Linked DNA regions of Mus musculus. The protein of the gene in region 1 binds, or shares a complex with, the protein of each later gene. Links are inferred from orthologs where the notes say so. Each region holds a gene or a part of one and is shown in the gene's direction. Other genes may lie near its edges. The genes, in order: Tnpo3, Srsf1 and Cirbp.

Region 1 (9,554 bases):
CCACAATGGGCCCCTCCCCTCTTGATCACTAATTGAGAAAATTCTCCACAGCTGGATCTCATGGAGGCATTTCCCCAACTGAAGCTCCTTTCTCTGTGATAACTCCACCTTGTGTCAAGTTGACACAAAACCAGCCAGCACAGTAAGTGCACTGTCACTGTCTTTAGAAACACCAGAAGAGGGCACTGGATCCCATTACAGATGGTTGTGAGCCACCATGTGGTTGCTGGGAATTGAACTCAGGACCTCTGGTAGAGCAGCCAGTACTCTTGACCGCTGAGCAATCTCTCCAGCCCTGCTGAATATTGTTTTTTATTGGATATTTTACATTTCAAATGTTTCCCCCTTTCCAGGTCTCCCTTATGGAGTCCCCCATCCCATGCCCTCTCCCCGCTGAATATGATTTTTAAGAGAAACTTCTGTAATCTCTTCACTCCTCTAAGCTCTCTGTAACCTATTTATGAATGTATGAAGCATGATGTATGATTCAAAATTTGTATTAGTAATTAAGATTGGACTGGAACTAAAAGAAAATTTTACAATTGCTATAGCCACAACTCTAAGTGAAATTAGGAGTAGTCAGTGATGAAACAGATTTTTTCTCAAAGTCTATTGACATTCGAAACAATCTGACATTGTGTAAAGACACAAAAGTGTCCGTCTATGTTAATGGCACAATTCAGGACAGGAGCACTCTGTAGAGCCACAGTTTAGCTTGCTACTGGACTTGAGGTTCACTGAAAGTCATGACTGTCAAACCTGGAACAGATCTAAGCTTTATGACAATCCCTGGGACAGTTCCTGGAGTATATAGTTGACATTCTCTTTCTCCTGCTACTATAAAAGTAAATTTCTGTGTCTGTGTTTCAGAGAGCGGAGGTCTCTTTCTCCTCTCTGCATTCTGTAGCCACAATCACCACCACATCCAATTTATTCTCTTAAATTTATTTTACACTTCACCATCTCCATCCCTAATTCCTACATTAGGCCACTATGGCTCCTCACCAGGATTGCTGCAATAGTTTATTATTTTTGTCCTTGCCCAAGACATTTAGTGTTGCAAGCTAGGATGCTTTAAGAGAAATCTCTAAGGAGCTTAAAGACACTTAAAGCAATTTCTGTTCACTTACCACCTTAAGCAATCTCTTGAGGACACAAAGATATGTAGGATGTGTTTGGTAAGTATCAAGTCTTTCTTCCAGTTGGTGTAGAATTTTTCAGCCTATAGACTTTATAAAATACACCTTTCTCTTTTTCCTACAGACTTGAACATTTGTTGCCTTTGACTGAAATACTTTTTACATTAGTTTCCTATTCATCCATCAGTCTGGTCTTAGTTTAAAATATTTTTAGATGGCCATCCTACTCCCTTCAATCTAGAGTGTTTCACCTAATTTTTTGGAAACAGGGTCTCATAAGTCACAGATTGGTTTCAAACTTACTAAGTATCTAAAAATGGTCTTGCACTTCTGATCTTCTTGCATCTTACTGTGGAGTGCTGGAATTATAAGTGTGTGCCACCACACTTGATGTAGTGAGGGGATCAAAGCCAGGGCTTTGTACAGGCTCCAGAGCTCTTTACCAAGTGAGTGACGTCCCTAGCCCAAGTTTTAATAACTCTTATTTATTTTTACTCTCTGTGTATTAGTGGTTTTGCCTTCATGTATGTGTGTGCACTATGTTCATGCCTGATGCCTGAGGAGGTCAGAAGTGGGTCCTGGAATTGGAGTTACTATAGAGGAATTTTAGCCCAGCAACATGGCTGTTCTGGCAAGGGATCACATCCAAAGACCTTCTAGGTCTTTGTGATCTTGCTGGAATGCAGATAGGCCACACACCTTTAGTCCCTCTGTTTGGGACACAGACATACCATTAGCACACACTTTTAACTCCAAACAGTGAAAGTAAGGTTAGTTTATAGAAGGAAGCAGCCATGTTTGAAATGACATCTATTCGAGGGGCAGACAAAGTGACAAATCAGAGAAAGATTTGACAGAATGAGTCAAAGGTAGAATACACCAACTCTCACAAGAACTGGAGAGGAAAAGAGGTTACTTAAGAGAGCAACAACAGTATTGGGGGGGGGTTAATGGGACAGTTTTACAGAGACATGTTGCAGAGAAAACAAGCTAGGTGAAGAGTGAGCTAGAGAATAAATAAGGAACCTGAATATTGCCAGAGTTAGTTTGAGTCCAAGCAGAACAATTCGGTGAGAAGCTGAGAGAAGCCAGTTTGAATCAGTCATTTTGAAAAACAATTTTGAGCCAGAACAGTGGAGTTGAACCAGCCAGCCAGAGTTCAGAAAGGACTAGAAAGAGTGAGTTTATTTAGTAGTAAGCCTCCAAGCTGACAATTACATATGGCTAATAAAAGTTACTTTTGCCAGGCATGTGGCACACGCCTTTAATCCCAGCACTTGGGAGGCAGAGGCAGGCGGATTTCTGAGTTCGAGGCCAGCCTGGTCTACAGAGTGAGTTCCAGGACAGCCAGGGCTACACAGAGAAACCTTGTCTCAAAAAACAAAGTTACTTTTACAAGTTACTGATGCTTGTACATTATCACATGAGTTCTGGGAAGCAAGCTTAGGTCCTCTGTGAGAGCAATACATGCTCTTAACTGTAGTGCCATCTCTCTGACTCCTTAAAGTTTTTAGTTTTGATGAATTCCAGTGACCTTTTTCTTTTTTGACTGGTTTTAGTAGCATAGCTAAGAAGTCATTGCCTGATCCAAAGTCATAACTGTATACCTGTTTTCATCCAAGAGTTTTATAGTATTAACTTTTTTGCTTGTCTTTGTTTTTTGTTTGTTTGCTTGCTTGCTTTTGAGACAGGGTTTCTCTGTAAAGCCTTGACTGTCCTGGAAGTCACTCTGTAGACCAGGCTGACTTCATTCTGCATATAAGCTCTGCCTGCCTCTGTTTCCTAAGTACTGGGATTAAATGCATGTTTCACCCTTCACCCCACAACCTCCAGGGCTCCCAGCTCAAATTCCAGCTTTCATTTAAGAATTCTTGTGGTTGCCAGGCAGTGATTGTGCACACCTTTAATCCCAGCACTTGGGAGGCAGAGGTAGGCAGATTTCTGAGTTCAAGGCCACCTTGGTCTACAGAGTGTGTCCCAGGACAGCCAGGGCTACACAGAGAAACCTTGTCTCGAAAAACCACAAAAAAAAAAAAAAAAAAAAGAATTCTTGTGACTAGTTGGGCAGTGGAGGTACATGCCTTTAATCCCAGAACCCAGAAGGCAGAGTTTCTGGACAACCAGAACCACACAAAGAACCCCAGGCTGGCCTCAAATATGCAGCAACCCTCCTGTCTCTGCCTCCCAAGTGCTGGGATTATAAATATGGTCCAGCATGAACAGCTTTAAATTCTCATCTTTTAAAATGAGGTTTAGGAGCTGGAGAGTTGACACACTCACTGATCTTGTAGAGAACCCACACTCAATTCTCAGGATCTATATAGCAGCTCACACGGTAACTCCTCCAGGACCAAGTTGCACATGCATAAATATGTAGGCAAAACACTCATACACATAAAAATAAGTCTTTAAAACTATTTCATTAGAGCTGGGCGTGGTGGCGCACGCCTTTAATCCCAGCACTCGGGAGGCAGAGGCAGTCGGATTTCTGAGTTCGAGGCCAGCCTGGTCTACAGAGTGAGTTCCAGAACAGCCAGGGCCCTCTACACAGAGAAACCCTGTCTCGAAACAAACAAACAAACAAACAAACAAATAAGCAAACCAAAACTATTTCATTAAAAAAGGACTTATTTTGGAAGGTTGTTAATCTTTCACTACATTACATTACATTACACATGGTCAGCCTTCATTAGATACTAACAGTTATTTTTAGTGAAGCAGCAATATTGGGAAACTGGCATGTTAACTGAGGATTGCTAGACAGTTGATTTTGTTTGTCATTTATTTATTTATTTGTTAATTATTTTCTGAGACAAGGTCTCTTTGTGTATTCCTGGCTGTCCAGGAACTTGCTCTGTAGACTAGGCTGGTCCAAACTCAAGAGTTAGGCCTGCCTCTGACTCCAGAGTGCTGGGATTAAACCTGTCTGCCATCACCGCTTGGCTGTTTTTTTTTTTTTTTTTTTTGGTTTTTTTTTTTAAAGAGACAGAGTTCCACGTATTAGAGGCTGGTCTTGAATTCCTCCTGATGGTGTTGTGGCTAACTTCCAAGAGCTGAGATTACAGGCTCTCTTCCTTTCTTTCTTTCTCTCTCTCTCTCTCTCTTTCTTTCTTTTTTTTTTTTTTTTTGAGACAGGGTTTCTCTGTGTAGCCCTGGCTGTTCTGGAACTCTGTAGACCAGGCTGGCCTCGAACTCAAAAATCCGCCTGCCTCTGCCTCCCGAGTGCTGGGATTAAAGGCGTGCGCCACCACGCCCGGCTGAACTGATGTTTCTTAAACACTCCTTGGAGACGGGTGAAGAAGTAGGAACCGGGAGGAAAGACTTTGGATTCCTTGCTGACGAGATAAGATTTGGTCAGGAACGTTAAGAGTAGCCAGACTTGAAGCTCAAATAAAGACTTACGCACCTAGGAGACTGACTACCTTGTGCCTACTTCCCCTTGGTTCTCCTAGTCCGGCAGGGTCACTTCCGGGAGGAGGCGGGGGAAACAAGAGGAGGCGTGCCGGGAAGGAGGCAGTTTGTGGTGCACCAGGCGGAAGTGTGCCAAAGTCTACGGACGGCCACTTCCGGCCCGGGGAAGCCCTGCTTCGGCTCGCTGCGTGGTTCGTGTCATGCGGAGGTAGGCCTCTGCGAGCAAGGCGGGAGGTGCAGAAGCCAGAACCCGTGTCCGGACTCGAGAGTCTGCGATTCTGGCGGGAAGACAAGACAAAAAGGAGGCAGGAACCTGAAAGCGACCTCTCCGCTGTTTCCGAGGGGGCAACTTCCACGAGGAACCCCCCTTCCCTGGTAACGGCCAGAAAGGAGGAGATGGCGCCAGTCAGGGAGCGGCTGTGGCCGAGACAGTGAGGACGCTTGAAGGCAGAGCAAGCGGAAGCCTAGGGAGGAGTATCGGGCTCTTTGCTGTCATCGCCGCCGCTCCCGCCAGCATGGAGGGAGCCAAGCCAACCTTGCAGCTCGTGTACCAGGCGGTGCAAGCGCTTTACCACGACCCGGATCCCAGCGGAAAGGAGCGCGCCTCGTTTTGGCTTGGGGAGCTGCAGCGTTCGGTGAGGTTCGGGGAGAGTCCGTTCTGAGCCGCGCGGGACCAGGGCCGAGTGGGATGGGATGGTTCTCCGCTTGAGTGGAGCGCTTGGCAGTGGGAGATCCTCTTTCCGAAGGAGCTGGTGCCGCGGGGTGGGGCTGAGCAGCCACAGATGTGCTGCCTTTCGGAAACCAGTGGCAACTGATTGGTCACGAACGGGCCCTTTCCCTCGTCTGTGGAATCCGTTTTGTAGTTCTGTACGTCTCGCTTGTGGTCTGGCTCTCCTTTAAGTGCTTTTGGTACACCTTCCGTATTCAAGAGTTGCATCTGGCAATACCTTCCCTTTGGCAGCCTTACTCACCCCTCAGTGTCCCTTGCCGATTTTCATTCGTGTTATTCTCGAAATTTCTCAGGCTTCTAGATTCGTGTTCGTACAAATTTTCTCCTCTCATTGGAGTGCAACGTAATATAAAGAAAAATTAGTTATGGTTTCAGGAAATCTTTGTAGTTCTTTTGTTTTATATCAGATTCCTACTGTATTTCTTCTGCCTGTACGTTTTTATTTGTAAGATGGCTATCATAGCTATATTAATTAGTCCATATTTTTGTGAGCATGTGGTGGAGTGTGTGTTGTATCTATCGTATTTCCACATGTTAAATTTTTGGGCTCATGTTTTTTCATTTTTTGACTCACACTTTGTATTTTCTTCCATGATTTTTCACACTCACCTTTGCTATGTTTTTATTTTTTATGAATTTTAATAGCTTGTGATTTTGCTGACAGTGTTTAGGTTTTAGTCTATGAACTGTGAAATTCTTTGAAAACTAAGGAGCCTCTTAACAGACTAAGTACCTACTTTCTTTTTCTTTTCCTTGTGTTTGGTGCTGGGGATCCAGTCCTGCCTACATCTCTAGCTCTCTCTCTCTCTCTTCACCCTTTATTCATTATTTCATTTTATACTCACAAACATGAAATGCTTGCTCTCCCTTTTCTGTTTAACTCATAACTGATGTTTAATGGTGCTGTATCTTCTTAAATAAGCCCCTAGGTTGCAAGTACATAATTAAAAAAAAATATTTGCCACTTTAACTCTGATGGTTGCATGTAAATGTGACACTCAAGTTCTTGTTTATATTGTGGGAAGACAAATAAAATTTTGCTGGGTGTGGAAGCACTCGACTTTAATCTCAGCTGAGATTAAATCTCAGCAGAGGCAGGCTAATCTCTGAGTTCCAGAACAGCCTGGTCTACAGAGTTCCAGGACAATTAGGGCTAAATGGAGGAGGAAAAAAAAGGTTCAGTGTAGGCTCCCCGTGTAGGCCTCCTGTAGCTTTTAGTTCTGCAGACGAGGGAGTTACAGTTCTCTACAGTTCTTCATACAGTTTTCTATTTTTTTTAAAGGATTTATTTATTTATTATATGTGTATATGCTGTAGCTGTCTTCAGGCACACCAGAAGAGGGCATCAGATTTTTGTTATGGATGGTTGTGAGCCACCATGTGGTTGCTGGGATTTGAACTCAGGACCTTTGGAAGAGCAGTCGGTGTTCTTAACCGCTGAGCCATCTCACCAGCCCCTCATACAGTTTTCTAACATATAAGTAACCTACTAGGTGAGCTCTTCTTTGCTGTATCTACTGATTGTGTTTTAAATCAGTACTGGAGAACCTATCATGGACAAACAAGTTCTAGATGTTGGTAATTGGAAACAAGCAAATGAATCTGTGGTGACCGCATAGTATACTCATGCTGATAATGTAACATGTCCAGAGCTGAGAGACATTCTTCAGCATAGAGCTTAAAGTATGTTAGGATTGAGTTACTCACCTTCCTCTCCTTTAGTTCCAATTATTCTGTGTGTCTATTCATTGTAGAATCTCAACAGGAAGAGATGACCAACTTGACAGAATAATTAGTTGGGAGAATTTTCTTTTTTTCTTTTTTTTTTTTTGGTTGTTGTTTGTTTGTTTTTGTTTTTTTTAATGAGAGATACTAGGGATTGAACCTAAGGCCTCACACATGTTGTGCAAATTGTTAATCTCTAAGCTCTATTCCCATCCTTTTTATTTTTATTTTGATAAAAAAAACTTTTTAAGTTCTCTAGGCTGGCCTTTAACTCACAATATAGCCTCTAAGTAACTAGATGTTGGTAATTGGAAACAAGCAAACAAGCCTGTGCTGACCACATAGTATACTCATGCTGATAATGTAACATGTCCAGAGCTGAGAGGCAGGCCTACAGGTCTCCTTTCCTTTCCATGCCCCAGGCGGGTTTGTTATAAACACACTATACAGCTGCGGGTACACTGTTGTCAGAAGAAATAGAATTATAACCTCTAGCCAAACTGTTATTTTCTTCTGGAAGGAATAGAGAGAGAGGAGCAGTTACTTAGCTTCTTTGAGGGAGAATGACATGTTTCTGGTGACAAAACTTGAGGTCCTTTGCAGTGAGGGAGCTGGAAGAATTTATTTGCTGACTCTGTTCTTCTGGGATTCCTTATAGATCAAGCCAACTAGTATCCAGGGGACATTAGGAAGCAGAGGCAGGTGGATCTCTGAGTTTCAGGCTAGTGTGGTCTATGTAATGAATTCTAGGACAGCCAGAACTATGTGGAGAAACCCTGAATCAAGGTGTGGGGGACGGGAAAGGGGAGAAAGTCTGCTGGAGCAGAAAAGATGTAGAAAAGGGGTGAAGAACACCCAACGTGCTTGTACATCATCATTTGGTCAGCTTCAGGGTGTCCATTTCTTTATTATGTGTTATGTGTGTGGACACACTTGTGTATGTCAGAAGACAACTTGTGGAAGTCAGTTCTCTCATGTGGGTTCTAGATACCTAACTAAAGTGGTCAGGCTGGGCAGCAAGTGGCTACAGTCTGTCTTTCTCAAGTGCCTAACTTGAGCATTTAAATGAACAATCACGTTATCACTTTGGCCTTTTCATTTCTTTATTTTCTTCAGGTCATGTAGTTGTACCCTGGATCTTGTCATTACCAAAATCACTATTCAGATATCCTTCTCTGAGCACAATCCATTAATTACTGTTTTCTGGCTCAAGAATTTCAAGTAACCCTGTGTTTGAATTTTTATTATTTTGCAGTCCTATATAATTTTAATTCTTATCAAAACTTAAGTTTTACTTTAAAATTTAAAAGTCTTTTGTGCTTGCTAGTATCTTTAAAATTTTTTTTGTTTTGTTTTCTATATATATATGCCATTTGTTCCCAAATGTCCACAGTATAAAATGTCCAATATATGTTCATATTGATAACCTATTTTCCTGTTATAGAAAACAGGAAATTTGTTGCCTGAAATAAGCTTGTAGCCCTAAGATTTATCAACTCCCAAAATAGCCCTCACCCCACTGACTTGAGTCAAATATGAATGATCATAGTCTACAAACATGAATTCAGAGTGCCTTTATTTTGTTGTGCGATGGAATTGGTGACATGAGATTGTATTAGTTATGGAACAGGGGAGTGGGGCTGGAGATACAGCTCAGTGCTTAAGAGTCCTTACTGCTAAGAGAGTCAGTGTTTGCCTCCTAGCACCTCTCTGGCAACTCACAACTGCCTGTACTCAAATTCCAGGGCATCTGGTGCTCCCTTCTGTGTACATACTCACACACACACACACACACACACACACACACACACGGGGATTGGGGGGGGGAGAAAGAGAAATTAAAAAATAAAAAGGAAAGTCAAATCTCAGAATTTATGGGTTTTATTGGTGGGCCTTTGGATGAGCAGGTTATAGGAAAGAAACAGGGATACTGCTGTAGGTCTTTTGTTTTCTAGAAGTGTTTTGTTTTGAGACAGTCTTCCTATGTATGCAGCCTTGGCTGGCCTGGAACTCAATGGAAATCTGCCTTCCTCTGCCTCCTAAATGCTAGGATTAAAGGCATGTGTCACCACAATTGGCTCTGAGTAGGTTTTAGGTACTGATAACATTTTTAGCCTTTGGACTGGTAGAAGTTAGTGGTTTGCTAAGAATGTACCTTGAAGTTTGAAGGACAATGAATGGCTATTGAGGGGGTTAAAAATAGTGCAAGATAATTTGGCTCTGTATCTGCATCATTCTAACTTAATATCATCAGAAGTTTTAATCAGCCATTGAGCCTTATAGAGTCTTTAACACAGGTATGGGGTTTTTGAGACAGGGTTTCTCTGTGTAGCCCTGGCTATCCTGGAACTCATTTTGTAGACAAGGCTGGCCTCAAATTCAGAAATCCGACTGCCTCTGCTTGTGCCTCCCCAGTGCCAGGATAAAAGGTGGAGGCCACCATTGAGCTGCCCAGGTGTGGGTTTATTTATTTATTTCCTTTCTGATAACTTTAATATGTAGAATCTTTCATCTGTCTTGGTTCTGTTTCCTAATTAACTGTCCTGGGA
Region 2 (9,771 bases), on another chromosome or scaffold:
GATGGCTCAGCAGTTAAGAGCACTGACTGCTCTTCCAGAGGCCCTGAGTTCAATTCCCAGCAACCACATGGTGGCTCACAACCATCTATAATGGGATCTGATGCCCTCTTCTGGTGTGTCTGAAGACAGCTACAGTGTACTCATATACATAAAATAAAAAAATAAATCTAAAAGAGCATTTACTGCTCTTCTGAAGATCCTGAGTTCAAATCCCAGCAACCACATGATGGCCCACAACCATCCATAGTGAGATATGATGCCCTCTTCTGGGGTGTCTGAAGACAGCTACAGTGTACGTACATATAATTAATAAACAAATCTTTAAAAAACACAATAAAAGAGGGAGAAGGTCACACTTTCAAAACCTCAAATAAATATTGCTATCAACATTAATTTTGTATTTGGCAGGATTATGAACAAGTAGCAGTGAAAATATCTAACTCTGCCAGGTGGTGGTGGCACACGCCTTTGATCCCAGCACTTGGGAGGTAGAGGCAAGCAGATTTCTGAGTTCAAGGCCAGCCTGGTCTACAGAGTGAGTTCCAGGACAGCCAGGGCTACACAGAGAAACCCTGTCTGGAAAAACCAAAAAAAAACCAAAAAACAAAAAACAAAAACAAAACAAAACAAAAAAAAAAAAACCCAAAAACAACAATAAAAAAAACCTCACACTTATTTTCACCCCATTATAAGAAGAAATTGCAGCCAGGTATGATGAAGCACTTCAGACCACCTGGGGTAACATCTTCAGGCCCCCCAAAAAAGACTCATCAGCATTAAAAAAAAAAATTCAATAATTACCAGTGCTGGTATCCCAGAATCAGAGGCAAGTGGATCTCTGAGTTTGAGGCCAGCCTAATTTACAGTGTGAATTTAAAGACAGCTAGAGCTACAAAGAGAAACTGCCTAGAAAAACCAAAACCAAACAAAAAACCTAATTAGTTCACCTAGGAAGTGTTCAACTTGAACTGAATTTGACCTTAGAAGACAAAGAGGAAGGAAGACAAGAGCTAGAATAGTAATTAATATAGGAACAAGTCATACTGAAGATAATCTTTTTGTTACAGATCATTTTAGGAACTTTTTTTTTTTTTGGCAAAGTCATATTGTTAATAATGGGACAACAAAGATGGGCTAATTCAGCCAAAAAGAAAGCAGAAAGACTCAAAGAATTAAGGAAGCCAGTCCTGGAATAAAATTATACCATGGCAGTATTTTTAGATGTCTTAGTTGGGCTTCAAAAGTGGCTTTTGTTATCCATGGAATGAAATCAATCCTTACGAACATTGTCTATCTATCGACAGCAACATCAAGTTTCCATGGAAACAACAGTCTGCTCACTGTTCTACATTTTTCAAGGAACAGTCAGTAAATAATCAGTATTCATTATTGGTAACATAATTTAACTAGGCGAAATGAGACACACATAAACTAAATAAAAAGATATGTACTGCTTAGCAAGGCCTACTAGAGAAGCCATAGAAATAAATGGGTCATTGAACTGGATAAATCTTTCTGAAGTGTTACCCAACCTCAGATACTTTATTATAATAACACAAAATTAACCAGTATTATGTTCATAACCAGTGAGCAATTAAAGATGAAAAAACAAAGATATGTACTATTTCTTTCATTTTCTGAAAATATGTGTAATTAAAACAAAAACCAAGTCAATTTTTCCCAGAATATTTAGGTTTTTTTTGTTTGTTTGTTTTTTTGTTTGCTTGTTTTTCAAGACAGGGTTTCTCTGTGTAACCCTGGCTGTCCTGGAATTCACTCTGTAGATCAGGTTGGCCTTGAACTCAGAAATCCACCTGCCTCTGCCCAGCGAGTGCTGGCGTGGGCCACCACTGCCTGGTCAGTTGAATATTTAGAACTTTGTCTTTTTTTTTAGTAGTAAAAATAACAAAGTTATCACCAAAGAGGTCAATATTAGCATAAATGTTAAAAAAATATAAAATTTTACTTTATTTTATTATATTTTTTTTGTTTGTTTTTTAGTTTTGTTTTTCGAGACAGGGTTTCTCTGTGTAGCCCTGGCTGTCCTGGAACTTACTCTGTAGACCAGGCTGGCCTTGAACTCAGAAATCCCCCTGCCTCTGCCTCCTGAGTGCTGGGATTAAAGGTGTATGCCACCTCGGCTGGCTTTGTTTTTGAAGCAGGGTAGACTCCCAGTGAGCTCACTATTTTCCTTGGTATCTTAATCTCCTGAGGGCTGAGATTACTGATGTGGGCTCCCATGCTTTTATGACTAACAACAACAAAAAACTGTTTTTTTTCCCCTGAACTATTTAGATTTTAAAATCGCTTAAAAATTGGATATATTATGCTCTCCTCTTCTTTACTGTGACTTCTGGTGAGAGTAGTCAAATTTGCAGTAGATCTCCCAAAATTCAACAAGTTCTTCAGGCATTTTGCCTAGAAACCTTATACATCACTTCTGCCTCTCCCCCACTCTCACTGTCCTTGATTTCTCCAGCCAGTCTTAATATTTAATGGTTTCATTTTAAGCAGCCCCACATCCTTGGACTGTTGTAAATAAATGATAACATCCAGGGGCAGCAATGACTCAGTGACTCATCTGGTTAAGGTGCTCCTCCCAAGCCTGACGTTTCATCTCGGGGGCTCACATGGCATGAGTGGTGAACTGCACCTTATTTTCTGACTTTCACACATGGGCCATGGCATGACCCACCACCCCAAGACACAATATGCATAACATAAAAATTAAAAACTAAAAATTACAGTATAAAGAATCACCCTTAGAACCTGTGGGGATCCGACTTAGCATATTTATTAGTGATAGGGTCGACACAGCTCTGGCTGGCCTTGAACCCTGAAATTCCGCTTCCCAAAAACTTCAAGAGGCATTTACCACTACGCCTGGCTGTCTCTATCCAATCATGAAAGGCTCTGGTTTTAGCTGGGAGGTAGTGACTTTGATCCCAGCACTCAGAAGGCAGGAACTCCAGGACAGCCAGGGGTACACAGAGAAATCGTGTCTCAAACAAAACAACCCCAAAACAAAAACAACACCAAGAAAACGTTTTGTTTTTCAATATTTTTAATAGAAAGGGTTTCCCTGAATGTCCCGGGCTAACCTTTCCCCCCGCCTCCCCTTTGGTTTTTCGAGACAGGGCTTCTCTGTATAGCCCTGGCTGTCCTGGAACTCACTCAGTAGACCAGGCTGGCCTCGAACTCTGAAATCCGCCTGCCTCTGCCTCCCGAGCGCTGGGATTAAAGGCATGCGCCACCACTGCCTGGCTCCGGGATAACCTTTACTAGAACTGTGTATAACAGGGTAGGCTGGACCCTCCTTGCCTCAGCTTCCGGAGTGATAGGATTTCAGGCACACAAGCTTAAGTCCAGATTGGTTTGCTTTTATTATAATTCGAGTTCATTAACAACACTACAAGGCCGTATGATTTCACACGTAAGGCTCTTCTATTCCCGTTATTACAAAACAAAGAAGCAAAATTGTGGTATCCAATGCAAGAATCCTTTTGCAGATAATCTTGGCAAAATAAACAAATAAATAAATAATCTCCCTAGACCAGCACAGAACCGGGATCTCGGCTCTGCAGTTAAACTGTTTTATCACTCTTCCTTTTTCATCCTTAGAAAGGAGGAAGAGGAAAACTCAAGGCACAGTTTTCATTTAGATAGATATGGAGGATCCGTCTAGACACTTTAACTAAGATGCAGCCCACCGCAGGTTCCCAGAGGCAGAAGCCACACTGCTCCGCTTCGGCTTTTAAATGAAATCACCTGCAACTCCCGCCGGCGGCACCGAAGTGCAGAAGATGCCCAGGTTTCCGGAGCAACAGCTCAGCGTCATCTATCTCCGCCCCGCGGCGCCTTTCCCGCCAAAGGCCGTTACCACCGCGGAGCATGGTGGGACACGCTTGCAAGATAGGTTTCACCCAATCTTTTTAGAGCGCCGAGCTGCTTTCAGAGAGGGTCTACCCCCGAGGTGGCCGACGATTCTGGACTCAGTGGGGATTAATAATAACCGCTTTAACCAGAGCATGTGATTTTTACTAAACGCCTGGACGTTCCAGCAGCCAGTCAACCCGCCAGGACGCGAGGGACTTTTTCCCCTCCGTGCGGAGGGTGACGTCGCGCGTGCGCGAGCGTGCTTCTCAGCACCCGTTAGAGGCGTGCGCCTGCGCACTGGGAGGGACGAGCCGCTTCCTCCGGCTTCTCTTCCTCCCCCTCCCCCCCGGTATCAGTGCGCCGAGCTGATAAAGGCGCCATTTTGGAGCGGCCGCGGGAGACGTGGTGCCGCTGAGGGCTCGCTCTGCCGTACGCTAGGCTTGGTAGGAAGGCCTCTTTTTTTTTTTTTCCTTCCCCCCCCCCGAGTCCGCGCTTTTCGTCGTCGCCGCCGCCGCCATGTCGGGAGGTGGTGTGATCCGTGGCCCGGCGGGGAACAACGACTGCCGCATCTACGTGGGTAACCTACCTCCGGATATCCGAACCAAGGACATCGAGGACGTGTTTTACAAATACGGCGCCATCCGCGACATCGACCTGAAGAACCGCCGCGGGGGACCGCCCTTCGCCTTCGTTGAGTTCGAGGACCCGCGGTGAGGCAGCGTGGGGCGTGCGCGGCCTTGAGGAGATAGCGTGGAGGAGTTGGGGAAGGCTCGGAGGCCTTGGAACATAATGGGGGGAGAGGAGGGGCTCCGAGGCGCTATCGCCCCTGCAGGAGTCGAGTCAGGAGAGCCGAGAGGCGGCGCGTTGTCTCCGGTGGCCGGCCGCCTCGGACGTCCCCCCTACCCCCCGAGCCCATGCGCAGCCCCCGGAGCGGGAAACCGAGGCGCTGAGGGCCGGCGAGGTGGTCGGGAGCCTCTGCCCGGCGTGGTGCTGGGTGGGGGAAGGGCCGGCCCTATTATGCGGCGCATGTGGGGCTCCGTGTGGCCCCGTGGGTGCGCATGTGCGCTGTGGCCGCGGCTTTTCACCCCCGGAGCGGGCGAACGAGCTGGGTCCGGCGGCTCCCTCCCCTCATCACCCCCCCCTTTCGCTTTCTGTGATCACACGCAGAGACGCGGAAGATGCGGTGTACGGTCGCGACGGCTACGACTACGACGGCTACCGGCTGCGGGTAGAGTTTCCCCGAAGCGGCCGCGGGACCGGCCGAGGCGGCGGCGGGGGTGGAGGCGGCGGCGCCCCGAGAGGCCGCTATGGCCCGCCGTCCAGGCGGTCCGAGAACAGAGTGGTTGTCTCTGGTGAGTTGACTTCGTGCGGGTTAAAATCTTTTTCCCGCATGACTGCTTTGAGTACTGCAAGGTTTTTGTTATTGTTGTTTTTGTTTTGTTTTACACACGGGGTCTTGGACTACTTCGGTCTTTGGGATGAATTTAGTAAATAAAGATTACTGTGGTGGTGATTTACCCAAATTAGGTTGCAGTACTAGCCTATGAAGATCCTTTACAAATAAATTTGGACTCTGGATCTGACTCTTACCAGCTCTTTACCTGGAAACACTTAAGTACAATCATTAAGTATTTTAAAATAATCCTTGTTCGAATGTACTTTACACGTTTGCCGTGGGACAGGATGAGTAGTATTAAATTAGGGGGAATCGCTTTTTCAGGACTGCCTCCGAGTGGAAGCTGGCAGGACTTAAAGGATCACATGCGTGAGGCAGGTGATGTATGTTACGCTGATGTTTACCGAGATGGCACTGGTGTCGTGGAGTTTGTACGGAAAGAAGATATGACGTATGCAGTTCGAAAACTGGATAACACTAAGTTTAGATCTCACGAGGTAGGTTATACACTTATTCTTTTTTTTGGCCAGAATTGGATACAGTTTTCTTAACAGTGGAATTTGAAGGTAAGGATACAGGCAAGGGTGTTCACGTAAATTACCAGAGCCCTGATCTGTCTTTGTATTCGTTCAGCTTGTCTGAAGACAGGTGAAAGCTTAGATCTTTCAATGGAAAGTTCTGTCTATCCAATAGGGAGAAACTGCCTACATCCGGGTTAAAGTTGATGGGCCCAGAAGTCCAAGTTATGGAAGATCTCGATCTCGAAGCCGTAGTCGTAGCAGAAGCCGTAGCAGAAGCAACAGCAGGAGTCGCAGTTACTCCCCAAGGAGAAGCAGAGGATCACCACGCTATTCTCCCCGTCATAGCAGATCTCGCTCTCGTACATAAGATGATTGGTGACACTTTTTGTAGAACCCATGTTGTATACAGTTTTCCTTTACTCAGTACAATCTTTTCATTTTTTTAATTCAAGCTGTTTTGTTCAGAATGGGCTAAAGTGTTGAATTGCATTCTTGTGTAATATCCCCTTGCTCCTAACATCTACATTCCCCTCATGTCTTTGGTAACTTGTATTTTAAGTGATGTCATAGACAGGATTGTTTAAATTTAGTTAATTTCCATGCTCTTCAGACTGTGATATTATGTAAATGTCTATTCTGCTCTGGTTTGTGTGAAATGGGATGTTGGGGGTGTTTGTGGTTATCTTACTTGGGGGAAGTTCTTATGTTTATCTTGCTTTTCATGTGTCTTTCTGTAGACATATCTGAAGAGATGGATTAAGAATGCTTTGGATTAAGGATTGTGGAGCACATTTCAATCATTTTAGGATTGTCAAAAGGAGGATTGAGGAGGATCAGATCAATAATGGAGGCAATGGTATGACTCCAAGTGCTATTGTCACAGATGAAATTGGCAGTATTGACCTTATACTAGAAGGCGAGGGTTAAAAATTTATCTACCTTAAAAGATTTGCAAACACTTAATGCAGTTATCTTCAGCTACAATTGCTTTGCTTTTTAAAACCTTGGCAATTGTGGTAGAATTGCCCATTTTGTAACAATTATTTGCTCCCTTCCCCCCTTTTTGTTTTAATAGGGACTAATGTGGGAAGAATGGCTAATTTGTCACAGTGCTTAGTTACAACTGTTAATGTGTGGCCTGCTGTTGGTGTACATGTGGGTACAGGGTGTCAATTTCCAAACAGAGTATAATATCAATACTGCTAAATCTGCATGTCCTCTGTGTGACTGATAGAGCATTGTTATTTCATTTTTTAAAGACAAAATGACAGCAAAATAATAGAATTCCAACGTATTAGTGTAGATAATCTAGTTGGGAGTACTTTAAGTCTCACCTTCCCTTTTAATATTCATAATTGACTCATGTTTAAAACACTTTAATTTACAAGCTAAATTGCAGATGGGAGCAATAGTTTAGGTTTAGGTGGGTAGTAATACCAGTAAACTTCAATTATATAACTTTGCAACCACAAAACCTGTGATACCTGTACAGTAACAAGTGTTGGCATTATCAGTTGAACTGTAAATATAAAGTGCTTCTTCCAGTTAGTCTCTATAGTTATTAAGTTTCTAAAATTTATCTGAACACCATACAGAAACTTGTTTTGGGGAATTTGATAGTTATTGATGTGCATCTGTAAACTGATGACAGACATAACTCATCATTCCCCAGAAACTTTTTTTGGTTACAGTGTCTAACATTTTGCCTCCTCTTTTTTGGTTTTGCTGGTTATAAAGGTTTGGATTGGAGAGGGCTCACTGGATCCCAATCCTTGGAGCTGGATCATTGGATTCAAATCATAATGTGGATAGGATAGGGAGGATGAATTACCAGGATTCATGGAGCGGGATCAGATTACCAGGAACATAGGAGTGGATTCCTTCCTGCCCCAACCAAACCGCATTCGTGTGGATTTTTTTTTCATTCAACTTAATTGGCTATTCCAAAGAATTTTTTTCCTATTTTTGACGATTGGAGCCCTTAAGATGCACGATGGAATTGTGTTTTGCATTTTTTGGTAAAAGGAGCAAAGCGAGGACCTGGAGATATACGCTGGAGCAATCTCCTTGGAAGGATTCAGCACGAGTAGATGGTAAACATTTAAAGGGGAAAAGGGGGGGTTTGTTTAAAATAGTAAATCAGTAAGTCACTTCTAAATTTAAAGAAAACAAAATTGGAGTTGAAGAATAAGTAGGTTTCCAATTGGCTATTGCCGTTTTTCTTTGAAAAAAATAAACATTTTTTAAAAAACGATGCATGGTTGTCCTTTTTCCTCTTGTAAAATTTTGATTGGGTAACTAGTGTATCAGTTATTTAATTTGATAAGATTCTGATTCTGTTTATGTGTTAGTAAATTAAAGATTCTAATAAATGATGACTGTCTCTGTTGTGGAAGTCTTAAGAGCATAATAAACTGAGTGTAAGGCAGTTACATACGTAACAGTTGTGTAGAGGGTAATGATCTGGAAAGTAATCTTTCATATTTTGCTAAAGAACTTACAGTTGCTGTTTATTTTGGTAATGCTTTAGACAAAATAGGCTTTTGTACAAAGTTTGATAGCTAATCAATTTTAGCTTTGAGATTCTCAGTGGAACTCAAATTCAGTATTAACATTAGGAGACAAAATAGACTACACAGTTTTTTTTTTTTTAAATTTTGGATAGTGTGCTGTCAAATGCTTATTGGGTTAATAAATACATTATAAATCTTTTCAGCCATAGAGTGTTCTGTCGCCAAACTGTTCTGTATTGAGTCAGCAATTATATATATATCTTAGTCTAGTCTACTGTTGTATCTCTACTGATAACCCCTTGAAGCTTAATCTTCATCTTAATTGGTTTGGAGAATGGAACTTTTATTTAAAATCCCAAGCTTGTGATTTCCTCCTGGCTAGAATGAATAGACCACTATTCACCACAGTAGAAATAGCTAGATCTTTAACTTTCCTTGAGTTGCAGGCTAAATATGATATTGTTCAGATGTAATGTAGAATATAGGGGAGACCAGAAATTTTTGCTAGTGAAAGAAACAGGTTTCAAGAAATTTGCATGAGATCTCAGCCTGCTCATTTTAATGACCGCATACACTGTCCTGAAAGAGAAACTAATTCTTTTAAGTTCAAAACTAGGATTTCACTTCAGGAGATGTGTTTAGTAGATGCATTAAGGTTAGGTAGCTGTGTTACAGAACTCAAAGTACAACTAAAAGGATGAGGAATTAGCATAGTTAAACATGGTATAATTGGAAATTTATGGTGTTTTAAAATACATTGTTTTCCTCCAGAGAACCTCACTCTACTCTGGTCTAGACTGGGCCCAAAACTCCAAAGTAAATCCAGTCTCCCAGATTCTGGGATTAGCCATGAAGCACCATGCCCAGCTTACTAAAGTAGTATTAAAAGGTTAAAGCCAGCTAGATAAATGCAAATGTGGGTTTACTTTGAATGCTTTGGAAACGGGACCAAGAATGGCCTGTTTATAGTAGTTCAGTTGTAGATTGAAATGAGCAAAGTGTTCTTTGCCTCACTGTAGGCTTATGTTTGAACACTAGTGAGCACAGCGTAGGTTTTAAAGCTTAGGAAATAGGGCTGTACCCATACTGACAGTTGATACCACTTTGGAACTACAAATACTTTGATTTCTACTCCCCGCCCCCCTCTGTTCCCTTAGGATATTGTAGGGAAACCTATGATTAGTTTTTCTAACCACGAAAGCACTTAAATCTCTTTAAGCAAGTACTTTCATAACTTCTGATTGAATAACCCAACTTGCTGTTCAGCTCATCCTACTGGAGACAAAGGTAAGACACATTTTCTGATACCTAGTTTGGGATCTGGATTTTAAGAACTAAAGTTGTGATGAATAATTGCTCCTGACTTGCAATGTTCCTCTCTTCCTCCCAGCTTTATATTTTTAATAGTTTTGAGTGTATAAATCTACTCATCTCAATTCTGGAGTTGAATATGATAAATTCCAAG
Region 3 (9,446 bases), on another chromosome or scaffold:
ACTCGCCTTCTAGGGGTGCAGCTGACACCCTGCCCCCCTCTCGGATTTATACAAGACACATGGGATCCCTTTGGGAGTAGTACTAGTGTCCCGATGGGCGACACTGGGCCAACTGCTCTGCCCAGACGCGCAGGAGCAAACCTCGAGCGTGCAGTCCAGCTACCACCGAGCTGGGCACAGCGAAGGTAAACCAGCACTGACACTGACAGCTCTGGTTTCCGTCAGTGATAACTGTCCACGATGGCGACGTCTAGTGGCCATAGCCTGGCCAAGCAGCTGGTGGCCGCCTGGAAAGAGGTGGGACATGAGTCCTGAACACTCCAGCCGAGGCTGTAGCGCCCTCTCCTGTCCTTATCGGGCAGAGAGCACTATTTGGGATTTGCCCGTGGTTCAGGGATTCACAGCGTTGGTGGATATGAGGTGTGTGTAAGAGAGAGTTTCAGACTCCTTTAAAGCCCACCAAAAGAAACAAAGGGTCATGGTGGCAAGCTAAGCCACCTGTCCACGTGGTCACAGGTAAGTACACGGGACACGCTTTAGACACAAGTACACCAAAGGCGAAAGAAAATGCACCCTGAAGCCGTATCCATGGGTCAGACATTTTCACGCTTTTCTGGGGCTCGAAAATGGCTATGGGTAATGGTGGAGCCCGGCCCAAATGAGCCGGTTAGTAGTAAGCTTAGTAAGTGGGTGCTGGTTGAATGAATGAATGAATGAATCAAAGACTGAGTACGGCAATTCTCAAAACCAGGAACTGGAAGGTGCCAGAATGTGAGCCAGGCTAGGGGCCCAGCATGATCCTGGGAGCTGGGATTACAGGGATCCAATTTTCCCTCCTGTGGGCACATTGTAGGACTGTTGCTTCTGGCTCTGCTGGCTTGTGGTCCAGCGGTCCCTGCAAGGCACGATCCCCTCCCCTCCTGGATTGCGCACATTGAGGGAGGGAAGGCATCTTGGTCTCTCAGCTCTTTTTAATAACCTCCTTGCGTGAGTGGCTGACGCAGCAGGCTGCTCTGACGGGGATAGGAGGGCTGCGTGCAGAGAGCGAAGTGCAGAGGGGGTGGCCATGAGTCACCAGCTGCTGTCTAGGGGGAGGGGAGCATCGAATCCCTGAGGGGTCCTGGCATTCTTCTCCTGGTGACAGCTGGGTCACCTCGACCAACTTCATCTGAAGGTCAGTGAGTCTGAGGCTTAAAGCAGGGTTGGGATGTCTCAGTTCTCAAGTCACCAGACTGTACTCTCTCCAAGGGGCAGTGCTGAAGTGTGGATTTCCTATCACTGATATCTAGGGAGATGTCTGCACTGGCTTGTTCCTCAGGCCATATATTAAGCAGAAGCCATTGAAGTGAGAGGTGAACTGCCTTAGATGGGGGTTAGTTAGGATCCTTACATAAAACCGGGCGTGGTGGCGCACGCCTTTAATCCCAGCACTAGGGAGGCAGAGGCAGGTGGATTTCTGAGTTTGAGGCCAGCCTGGTCTACAAAGTGAGTTCCAGGACAGCCAGGGCTATACAGAGAAACCCTGTCTTGAAAAACCAAAAAAAAAAAAAAAAAAAAAAAAAGGATCCTTACATAGGCTACTCAGGACTCAGGACTCTCAAAACCACAGTGGAGGGAGAAGAAAATGTAGCCTGGAGACATGGGTCTGTTATCACAGCTACTTGGGATGTGAGCCTACGGATTTCAAGGATAGATTGAAAAATGTAGGTTGTCTCAAAGGATCAAATGGCCTAGTGGTAAAGGGCTCTTGCAGAGGACGTGGGTTCAATTCTCAGAATCCACATAAAGGTTCACAGCTGTCTGGACCTCTGCATCCAAAGGATCCAGCACTCTCTTCTGGTCTTTGTCAGCGCAAGATAGGCAAGTGCTGCATAGACATTCAGGCAAACACCCATATACATAAAATTAAAATACACTTTTTTGTTTTGTTCTCTGTGGTGTGTGTGTTTAAGAAGGCTAAGGATGTAGCTTGGTTTAGCCACTACTTAGAATTCTGCAGTGAGGGGTTAGGGGTGTGGCTCAAGGATAGAAATCCTTCCATGGCATGCTTGAGACTCTGGGGTCTCTTCTAGAAAATGCAGGTACACATTGAAAAGAGTGGTGTTTTGCCATCTGTGTGGTAATGTACACCTGGTTGGAGATGGGCAGAAATCAGGGTTCAAATGGTCGTTATACAGCAGGTTGAGATTTGTAGGAAAACTGAGTTGGGTGCAGGAAATCTAGAGAAAATCTTGACATTGTGATTAATACTGGGATGGAAATTTTAGGGCTGATCTTATGGAGTGTCCTTGGGGTCCAAAGAACTGTTAGGCAGCAGTTGTATTGGGAGGTACTTTTGGACTAGAGTAATTCGGTGGTTTTGGTTTCATGAGCAAGAACGGAGAAGAGGGGCAAGCAAGATGACTCAGTGGATAAAGCTGCTTGTGGCTAATCCTGAGTATGATCCTTAGGACCTACATGATGGAAGGAGAGACTCCATCTGTCTTCTGGCTTCACAAATGCGCCTCAGTTAAATAACTGTAATTAAATATTAAAAGAAAAAAAAGAACATAAAAGTGTTGAGTCGATGAGTCAAGGTTGGAGCCATATTTGGGAGTCTCATTGAGGTAGCAAAAGCTCTTTGTTCCCCGCCGCAGGACAAACGGGTCGGGAACGCGGAAGTGGGTCAGCTCCGCCTCCAAATCAGCTGTCCCCGCCTCCTAGTCGCTAGCGGGCGGGGGGTGGGGGGGAAAAATGCGGCCAGGAAAGATTCCAGCCAATCAAAACACTCAGCGCCTCCGCGCGGACTAGGGCAAAGCCAACGGAGTCCCGCCCCTCCACCGAGGCGCAGATGCCGAATCTAAGGCGTCGGATTGGTCAGCGCGGCGTGGTGGGCGGGTTAAGGGGCGTGGCTCCAGGAGTGGAGTATATCAGGCGGGACTCTTGCGCTCCCCCTCGCACTCGCGCCTTAGGAAGCTTGGGTGTGTGTGGCGCGCTGTCTTCCCGCTCGCGTCAGGGACCTGCCCGACTCAGCGGTGAGGGCTCTGGCGGCACCGGCTCTGAGGGGCCCGGGGCGGCGGGCGGCCTGTGACTCTCGGGCGAGGCGGAGCCGCAGCGGCACGCCCCTGGGACTTGGGGGCGGGCCCGGGTTGGAGTCCGCCCCGCCGGCGGCGAGGCGGGCAGCGGGACACTGGGGCCTCACGCTTGTCGGAGGGCGTCCTCCACCGCGCGTCATCCCCGGGCCGAGGCCGACCTTAACGGTGGGCTTTTTTTTTTTTTTTTTTTTTTGTAAAATGGCCGCCGCGATGCTTTGAAAAGCTTCGCCGGCGAAATGGCGGGACTGCCGAGTGCCCGGATGGAATGGCGCAGGGTGCGCGCTTGGCGCATGCGCTGCTCCGGGGGCGGGGCGCTCCTACCTCCAAAGTCCGGTTGTCCGCAGATGTGGAGCTGTGTCGCGTGCGACCCTTTTACTCCAGCTGGCTCTACCTCGGTTTTCTCTTCCCTTGTGGTTCCACGTGGGGAACAAAAAAGCACATGTAGGCTTGAATGTTGTCCTTTTGTGCCCCAAGTTTATTGCCCCCAAGGTAGACTGGTTTCGTGGTATAGTGGACTTATTTTCCAAGTTGTCGGTTGCCAATAATGACTTTGTCTAGATACCACGCCCCTTTCGCTAGCCACGCCTCTTGGGCCAACCTCCTTTCTCCCTTGAGTCCATCGTGCAAAAACATTTCTCTAGTCCTTGGCTGAGTAAGCGAGGCATCCCACAACTGGCACACCTCCAGACAGTACCCTAAAAGCGTATTTCAGTAGTGAAGTTTCTCTGGCCCAACAACTCTATGCTAGTGAGGGTAGGCAGTCACTATCATTTCTGTCCCCAACCACACACATTTGCAAAGTGACCATGCCATTTTGATCCTAACCTTGGGATTCTCTGGCCAGGTGTAATCAAGACCTAGAATCATTTAAGGTTAGCCTCAGCTGTATGACAAAGTATTCCATATGCCTTTGGGATGATAAAAGCAAAAAGAGTTCCCTCTTGTGTAGCCCAGAAGGGTATTGAACTTGCTGTGCAATTGTATTTGGTTTTGGATTCTGTTCCTTTGCCTCCAACTCCCACAGGCTAGGCGAGATGGGTATTTGTTTTGAAACAGTCTCTCAAACTGATCCACAGTGTCCTTTTTCTCATTGATCTTCCCATCTCGGTGACTTGAATGGCTGGATGAGAGGTGTGAAAGAAACCCCACTTGAAGCTGAGGTTTCCCAGTAAGACCATGGGGTCCTCTCCCCCCACCCCCATGCTTCCCCCCTAGCCCCCCCCCCCCAGTTTCTTTGTGTACTCCTGGTTATCCTGGACTCTCTTTGCAGACCAGGCTGGCCTCAAAACTCACAGAAATCTGCCTGCCTCTGTCTCCCAAGTGTTGGGATCAAAGGCATATACCACCATGTCCAGCTGTGGGTTACTTTTATTTATATACATACATACATACATACATACATACATACATACATACATACATATGTAGGTAAGGGATGGGAAGAGGCAGCTTTAACTCCTTAAAGCTTTCAGTGACTTATCCTTACAGGTGTTCCAAGGCCATCCTGGACTATAAAAGGAGACACTGTCTCAATTTTTTAAAGGCAAAGAATGTGGGGGGCTGAAGAGTTGGCTCAGGGGTTGAGAGCACTGCCTGCCTGCCAGAAGACCCAGGTTCAATTCCCAACACCCACATGGCACCTCATAACTAACTCCCAAGATCTGACAGCATCAGAGACATATATGGAGACAAAACACCAGTGCACATAAAATATGTTACTCTTTTTTTTTTTTTTTTTTTTTTTTTGAAAAGCATATTCTTAAATATGCTATTTGGCTTCAGTTTCTGGAAGGGGTGGTGGTTAAGGCAAACATCTATGGTGTGTGCATAGGCTGCCATGGCATCAGATGAAGGCAAGCTTTTCGTGGGAGGACTCAGCTTCGACACCAACGAGCAGGCGCTGGAGCAGGTCTTCTCCAAGTATGGGCAGATCTCCGAAGGTGAGTCTTGGGTCAGGATCATTGTTCTCGGCTTCTACTTGGGGGTGGGGGTGGGGGGCAGAGGGCTGACTGGGCACATCTAATGTCTCTCTCCTGCAGTGGTGGTGGTAAAGGACAGGGAGACCCAGCGATCCCGAGGCTTTGGGTTTGTCACCTTTGAAAATATCGATGACGCTAAGGACGCCATGATGGCTATGAATGGGAAGGTGAGGATCAGGTCAGCCAATTTACCTTGGATAGGTCTGGTGTGGAATCGGGTACAGTGACCCTAACTTTCTCCTGCAGTCTGTGGACGGGCGGCAGATCAGAGTTGACCAGGCTGGCAAGTCTTCTGACAACCGGTCCCGAGGATACCGGGGTGGCTCTGCTGGAGGCCGGGGCTTTTTCCGTGGGGGACGAAGCCGGGGCCGAGGGTTCTCCAGAGGTGAGTGCTGGGGTGCCTTGGCAGCTGGTGGTGGCACTGCAGCAGGAGTAGGGACTCCCTGACTCTGTTCTCGATCATCTACAGGAGGAGGAGACCGGGGCTATGGAGGTGGCCGCTTTGAGTCCCGGAGTGGGGGTTATGGAGGCTCCAGAGACTACTATGCCAGGTGAGCCAGATGGGAGCCTTGGGGAGGCTCAGCCTCGGTGGTGGCAGCTGGGCCTGGGAGGAGGGTGCACCAGGGGAAGGGCAGACTAGTGTAGGTGGTTTGGTTTTGTTCTCTACTGAGAACCAACTCTTGCCAACTATACCTGGTACGGGGCTGAGCCTGGGTGTCCATGTGTGTCCTTCCACAGCCGGAGTCAGGGTGGCAGCTATGGTTATCGGAGCTCGGGAGGGTCCTACAGAGACAGCTATGACAGTTATGGTAAGTCTAGCTCCAAGGATGCCATCTGAGTGGCTGCGGTTGGGCTCGGTGAACCCTTGTGTCCTCAGAGCATCTTAAGCCGCTCAGCCTTGGGCGCAGCTACCAGGCCTGCCGTACAGGTCAGGGCACCAGGTGCATGAAACCCTGTGCCACCTCCCACGCGCGCGGGCGGAGCACAAGCTCCAGTGACTTTACACTGTCCCGCTTCTGTCCTCAGCTACACACAACGAGTAAAAGCCCTCCGCGTCCAGATCGTCCTTCCATGGCTGTAATTAAGATGGGGGAGCTTCGCTGATCGTTGTGTAGTGAGCACCTTGTTCCCACTTTTGTAGTCCTTTCCGTTCTGACCCGTCAGCAGCCTGCTTCTGACCCAAGATGGCCTCGTGACTAGACCTGTTTTTAAGGAAGCGCTGTCTGTTTTTAAGTATTCTTAAAAACGTTTTGGAAAGCACTTCAGATTTTACTGTTTACCATGAGCCATGGGTTTTTGTTTTTTCTAAATTGTCGGGTTGTGTGGGTTTTGGTTACTCGTTTTTGTTTTTTCAGGTTTTTTGGTTGTGGCTTTTCTTTTTTTTTCTTTTTTTGTGTGGTCGCCCCTGAAGTCTGGCGCCCCACCCCTCCTGAGATGGAATGGACTCGATTTGAGCAAGCCATGGCCCTCCAGCTCCCCAGCCCGGCTGCGGAGTTGCAGCAGGTCCTGCCCATCGGGCACATGTCTCAAGCCCATGGGGAGCATAGCAGTCCGGGAGGCTGTGGAAATGTTTATTTATATTGTCCTTTTTTACCGAAGACATGCATACTCCATCGATGTTGTATTCACAGTGGCTGAGGAATTCTTGTACGCAGTTTCTTTGGCTTCACGAAGCCGATTAAAAGACCGTGTGAAATGAATCTCGCTCTGACCATTTCCCTTTCATTGCCGACACTGAGCTGCGGCTCCGTGGCCAGCAGAGCAGCTAGGAAGGCAGGGCAGTGCGGGAGGCAACAAGCAGCCAAGTGGGGACGGGAGTGGGCAGTGCTGAGGGGCTGCAGGGCGGCAGAGGCCTCGCCCAGTACAGGGCCGGGTGCAGGCAGGGCCAGCGAGGCTGCCTAGCGGCTGCGCCCCGCCAGTTCCAGGCATTCTCTGCTAGCCTCCGAAGCCGCAGCCCTCGGGGGACAGACGCGAGCCACAGACCCTCCGAGACTCGCCCGCTGCTCCCCCGCTAGCTCTGCAGCTGGCCTGTGCCTCGAGGTAACACTTTCGCTCGCGCTCGTGTCGCATCCCTCCGGTTTATAGCTCACTTGGACAGAAACTTAGACTTGGGGTTGACATTTGCTTCCTGGAAGTCTGAGTCAAACTGGTGGTACCTCCCGCCAGTATAACGCGGCCGGCCAGAGCTACCGGGCGCCCTGCCTTTCTGGGCATGTTTTTGGTCCTTGCTTGACAGGCTTTAGACCTGCGCTGCTGCCTTTAGTTTTTGCCCAGAGTCCGTGAAGCTGTTGAGCAGGACAGAGCCCGGCTCTGCTCGAGGCGGGCTGCAAAAGGGCGCTGACGCCCTGGGCATGGCCACCTTGGGACGAACCACTTGGGCGCCGTGAGGGTGGGAGGTGGGAGGGCAGGCGCTGCAGGCCCACAGGGATGCCAAGAGTCACGCGCCTTTGTTTGGCAGGATGAAGGGGAGCCAACCTGAGCCATGGGAGGATGGCTGACTCTGGGTCCTAGAGGGTTCCACAGGATCTGGAGCCATAGACTGCACACAGTTTGCCCGGTGAGTGCCCGAGGTCAAGGCCTGGGGTCCTTGGACACTCCGGGTGCTCAGAGGGTTGAGGGATCCCCCACCCCTAGAAGCTGGACTGGACTTTCCCTGATTGATCTCTTCTCTTCTTTTCCAGGCAATTCCTGAGCTAGCACCTGGCTCGTGGGCGATGCAGGCTTCTGTGGAAAAGATAAAGAAGCTGGGCTGGCGTGGTCGCTGGGACAGAATGTTGTGGGGGCGGGGGGGGGGGGGTTGGGTTGCCTGAATAAAGGGCTGTGACCCAGAACCCCCGACTCTGTGGCTTGGGTCTGAGACGTGGCAGGGATAGGGGTGACTAGGGCGCAGCGGGTAAGAGTCTTAGTGTCCACCCATCTCCATAATAAGGCGCTAAGATGAACAACCCTAGGATTGCGCAGGGCATTGTGGGCGGGGCGGGGCTGTGTGCACTTCCGCCTCAGCTCCGGCATGGCACTACGCATGCTGCTGCTGCTGCTGCTCCTCTGGTGTAGCAACCCTGGTTCCGCTGAAAACTCCAGCCTGCCGGGCCCACCTTATAACCACACAAACGGGAGGCTCCCGGACAGGGACACGGGCTCCGCGGTGCTCCGCTTGTTCTACGTAATCACTGGGCTCTGCGGCCTGATCTCGCTTTACTTCCTCATCCGGGCTTTTAGGTGCGTTAGCGCGGCCAATCAGCATCTAGTGAGTCAGGGGGAGGAGGAAATGGGCGGGAGGGCACGTGATTCAGGCTGCCGACTGGGTTTTTTTGTTTGTTTGTTTTTTTTTTTTTTTTTGGTTTTTCGAGACAGGGTTTCTCTGTATAGCCCTGGCTGTCCTGGAACTCACTCTGTAGAGTAGACCAGGCTGGCCTCGAACTCAGAAATCCGCCTGCCTCTGCCTCCCAAGTGCTAGGATTAAAGGCGTGCGCTACCACCGCCCGGCCGACTGGTTCTTATTCTTGTCTCTTTAATTGTGATTTTAAGGCTGACGAGGTGGGCAGCGACCGCAGTATGGCCATCCTCCTAACTCAGCCTCTCTGGTGGTGTGGTGACAGGGGTGGGAAAAAACGTGCTGTACTGCAAAAACTGCAGAAATTCTTTCCTTGGCTGAGGCTCATAAAAGTTTTGCCTAACACCTGCAAAATGCTGTGTGCTGATACATGTCTGTCATCTCAACACTTGGAACTGGAGGCAGGATGATCAGAAGTTAAGGGTCAGCCTGTGTTGCAATACACTGAATCAAAGAAAAAAGAAACCAGCCTTTCATCTTCCATTTTTTTCTTAGCTGCTATGACAGTGCCTTGTGCTTTAATTAGGAAGCTGTGGCTGGCAATCCAACCCAATAGTATCCATGCCTCTACCTCCGTGGTTTTCACTATGCCAAGAGTTGCTCTTATAGTTTGGGTTTTGTTTTTTTGTTTTTGTTTTTTGGTTTTTTTTTCGAGACAGGGTTTCTCTGTATAGCCCTGGCTGTCCTGGAACTCACTTTGTAGACCAGGCTGGCCTTGAACTCAGAAATCCGCCTGCCTCTGCCTCCCGAGTGCTGGGATTAAAGGCGTGCGCCTCCACGCCTGGAGCACTTGTAGTTCTTATGACAAAGGATTCACATCTGGCAAGTGCTTTGGGGGTGGAGGGAAGCATTGCGTGGGTACCCTGGACTTGGTGTCACCCGTGCTGAAGTTGTTTCTGAGGGTGTTTCTGTCCTGCAGACTCAAGAAGTCACAGCGAAGGAGGTATGGGCTCCTGACCAACACGGAGGAGCATGAAGAGATGGCCTCTCAGGACAGCGAGGAAGAGACTGTCTTTGAAACCAGGAATCTGAGATGGTAGGAAGGACTTCATCACTGAG

What was found.
Region 2: the proteins of Tnpo3 (region 1) and Srsf1 are in contact, whole or in part, in a crystal structure (PDB 4C0O), measured with the Homo sapiens proteins. The link is inferred for Mus musculus from reciprocal best matches to the Homo sapiens genes TNPO3 and SRSF1. Residues at the interface, in NP_036602.1 of Homo sapiens: His155, Arg157, Arg160, Thr167, Tyr254, Ile256, Glu257, Glu304, Glu340, Ile341, Phe343, Asn344, Tyr347, Arg348, Glu351, His352, Lys355, Thr356, Arg620, Asn656, Glu660, Arg661, Arg664, Arg667, Phe668, Arg671, Ser698, Cys699, Tyr702, Ile706; in NP_008855.1 of Homo sapiens: Ser116, Arg117, Arg118, Ser133, Trp134, Gln135, Lys138, Asp139, Arg142, Glu143, Gly145, Asp146, Cys148, Tyr149, Ala150, Asp151, Val152, Tyr153, Arg154, Val172, Arg173, Asp176, Asn177, Arg181, His183, Tyr189, Ile190, Arg191, Arg198, Pro200.
Region 3: the proteins of Tnpo3 (region 1) and Cirbp are in contact, whole or in part, in a crystal structure (PDB 8CMK), measured with the Homo sapiens proteins. The link is inferred for Mus musculus from reciprocal best matches to the Homo sapiens genes TNPO3 and CIRBP. Residues at the interface, in NP_036602.1 of Homo sapiens: Arg620, Glu660, Arg661, Cys663, Arg664, Arg667, Phe668, Arg671, Ser698, Cys699, Tyr702, Ser705, Ile706, Asp709, Glu710, Asp747, Asp750, Asp751, Arg754, Arg758; in NP_001271.1 of Homo sapiens: Tyr160, Arg161, Ser163, Tyr164, Asp165, Ser166, Tyr167, Ala168.

Annotation. Positions count from the first base shown.
Region 1 is NC_000072.6:29,604,997-29,614,550, reverse strand, and holds the start of Tnpo3 (transportin-3), read left to right. Parts: upstream 1-4,701; 5' UTR 4,702-5,065; coding exon 5,066-5,185; intron 5,186-9,554. UniProt on the Homo sapiens protein: Importin, which transports target proteins into the nucleus. Specifically mediates the nuclear import of splicing factor serine/arginine (SR) proteins, such as RBM4, SFRS1 and SFRS2, by recognizing phosphorylated SR domains.
Region 2 is NC_000077.6:88,043,447-88,053,217, forward strand, and holds the start of Srsf1 (serine/arginine-rich splicing factor 1), read left to right. Parts: upstream 1-3,926; 5' UTR 3,927-4,392; coding exon 4,393-4,586; intron 4,587-5,043; coding exon 5,044-5,228; intron 5,229-5,596; coding exon 5,597-5,769; coding exon of another isoform or gene 5,770-5,823; exon of another isoform or gene 5,824-5,965; coding exon 5,966-6,160; 3' UTR 6,161-9,771. UniProt on the Homo sapiens protein: Plays a role in preventing exon skipping, ensuring the accuracy of splicing and regulating alternative splicing.
Region 3 is NC_000076.6:80,164,903-80,174,348, forward strand, and holds Cirbp (cold-inducible RNA-binding protein), read left to right. Parts: upstream 1-2,936; 5' UTR 2,937-3,014; intron 3,015-3,268; exon of another isoform or gene 3,269-3,515; intron 3,516-4,826; exon of another isoform or gene 4,827-4,905; 5' UTR 4,906-4,911; coding exon 4,912-5,014; intron 5,015-5,113; coding exon 5,114-5,220; intron 5,221-5,299; coding exon 5,300-5,438; intron 5,439-5,522; coding exon 5,523-5,604; intron 5,605-5,791; coding exon 5,792-5,862; coding exon of another isoform or gene 5,863-5,891; exon of another isoform or gene 5,892-6,079; coding exon 6,080-6,096; 3' UTR 6,097-6,753; downstream 6,754-9,446. Other genes in the region: protein FAM174C precursor, read left to right, coding at 8,064-8,272, 9,307-9,423. UniProt on the Homo sapiens protein: Cold-inducible mRNA binding protein that plays a protective role in the genotoxic stress response by stabilizing transcripts of genes involved in cell survival. Acts as a translational activator.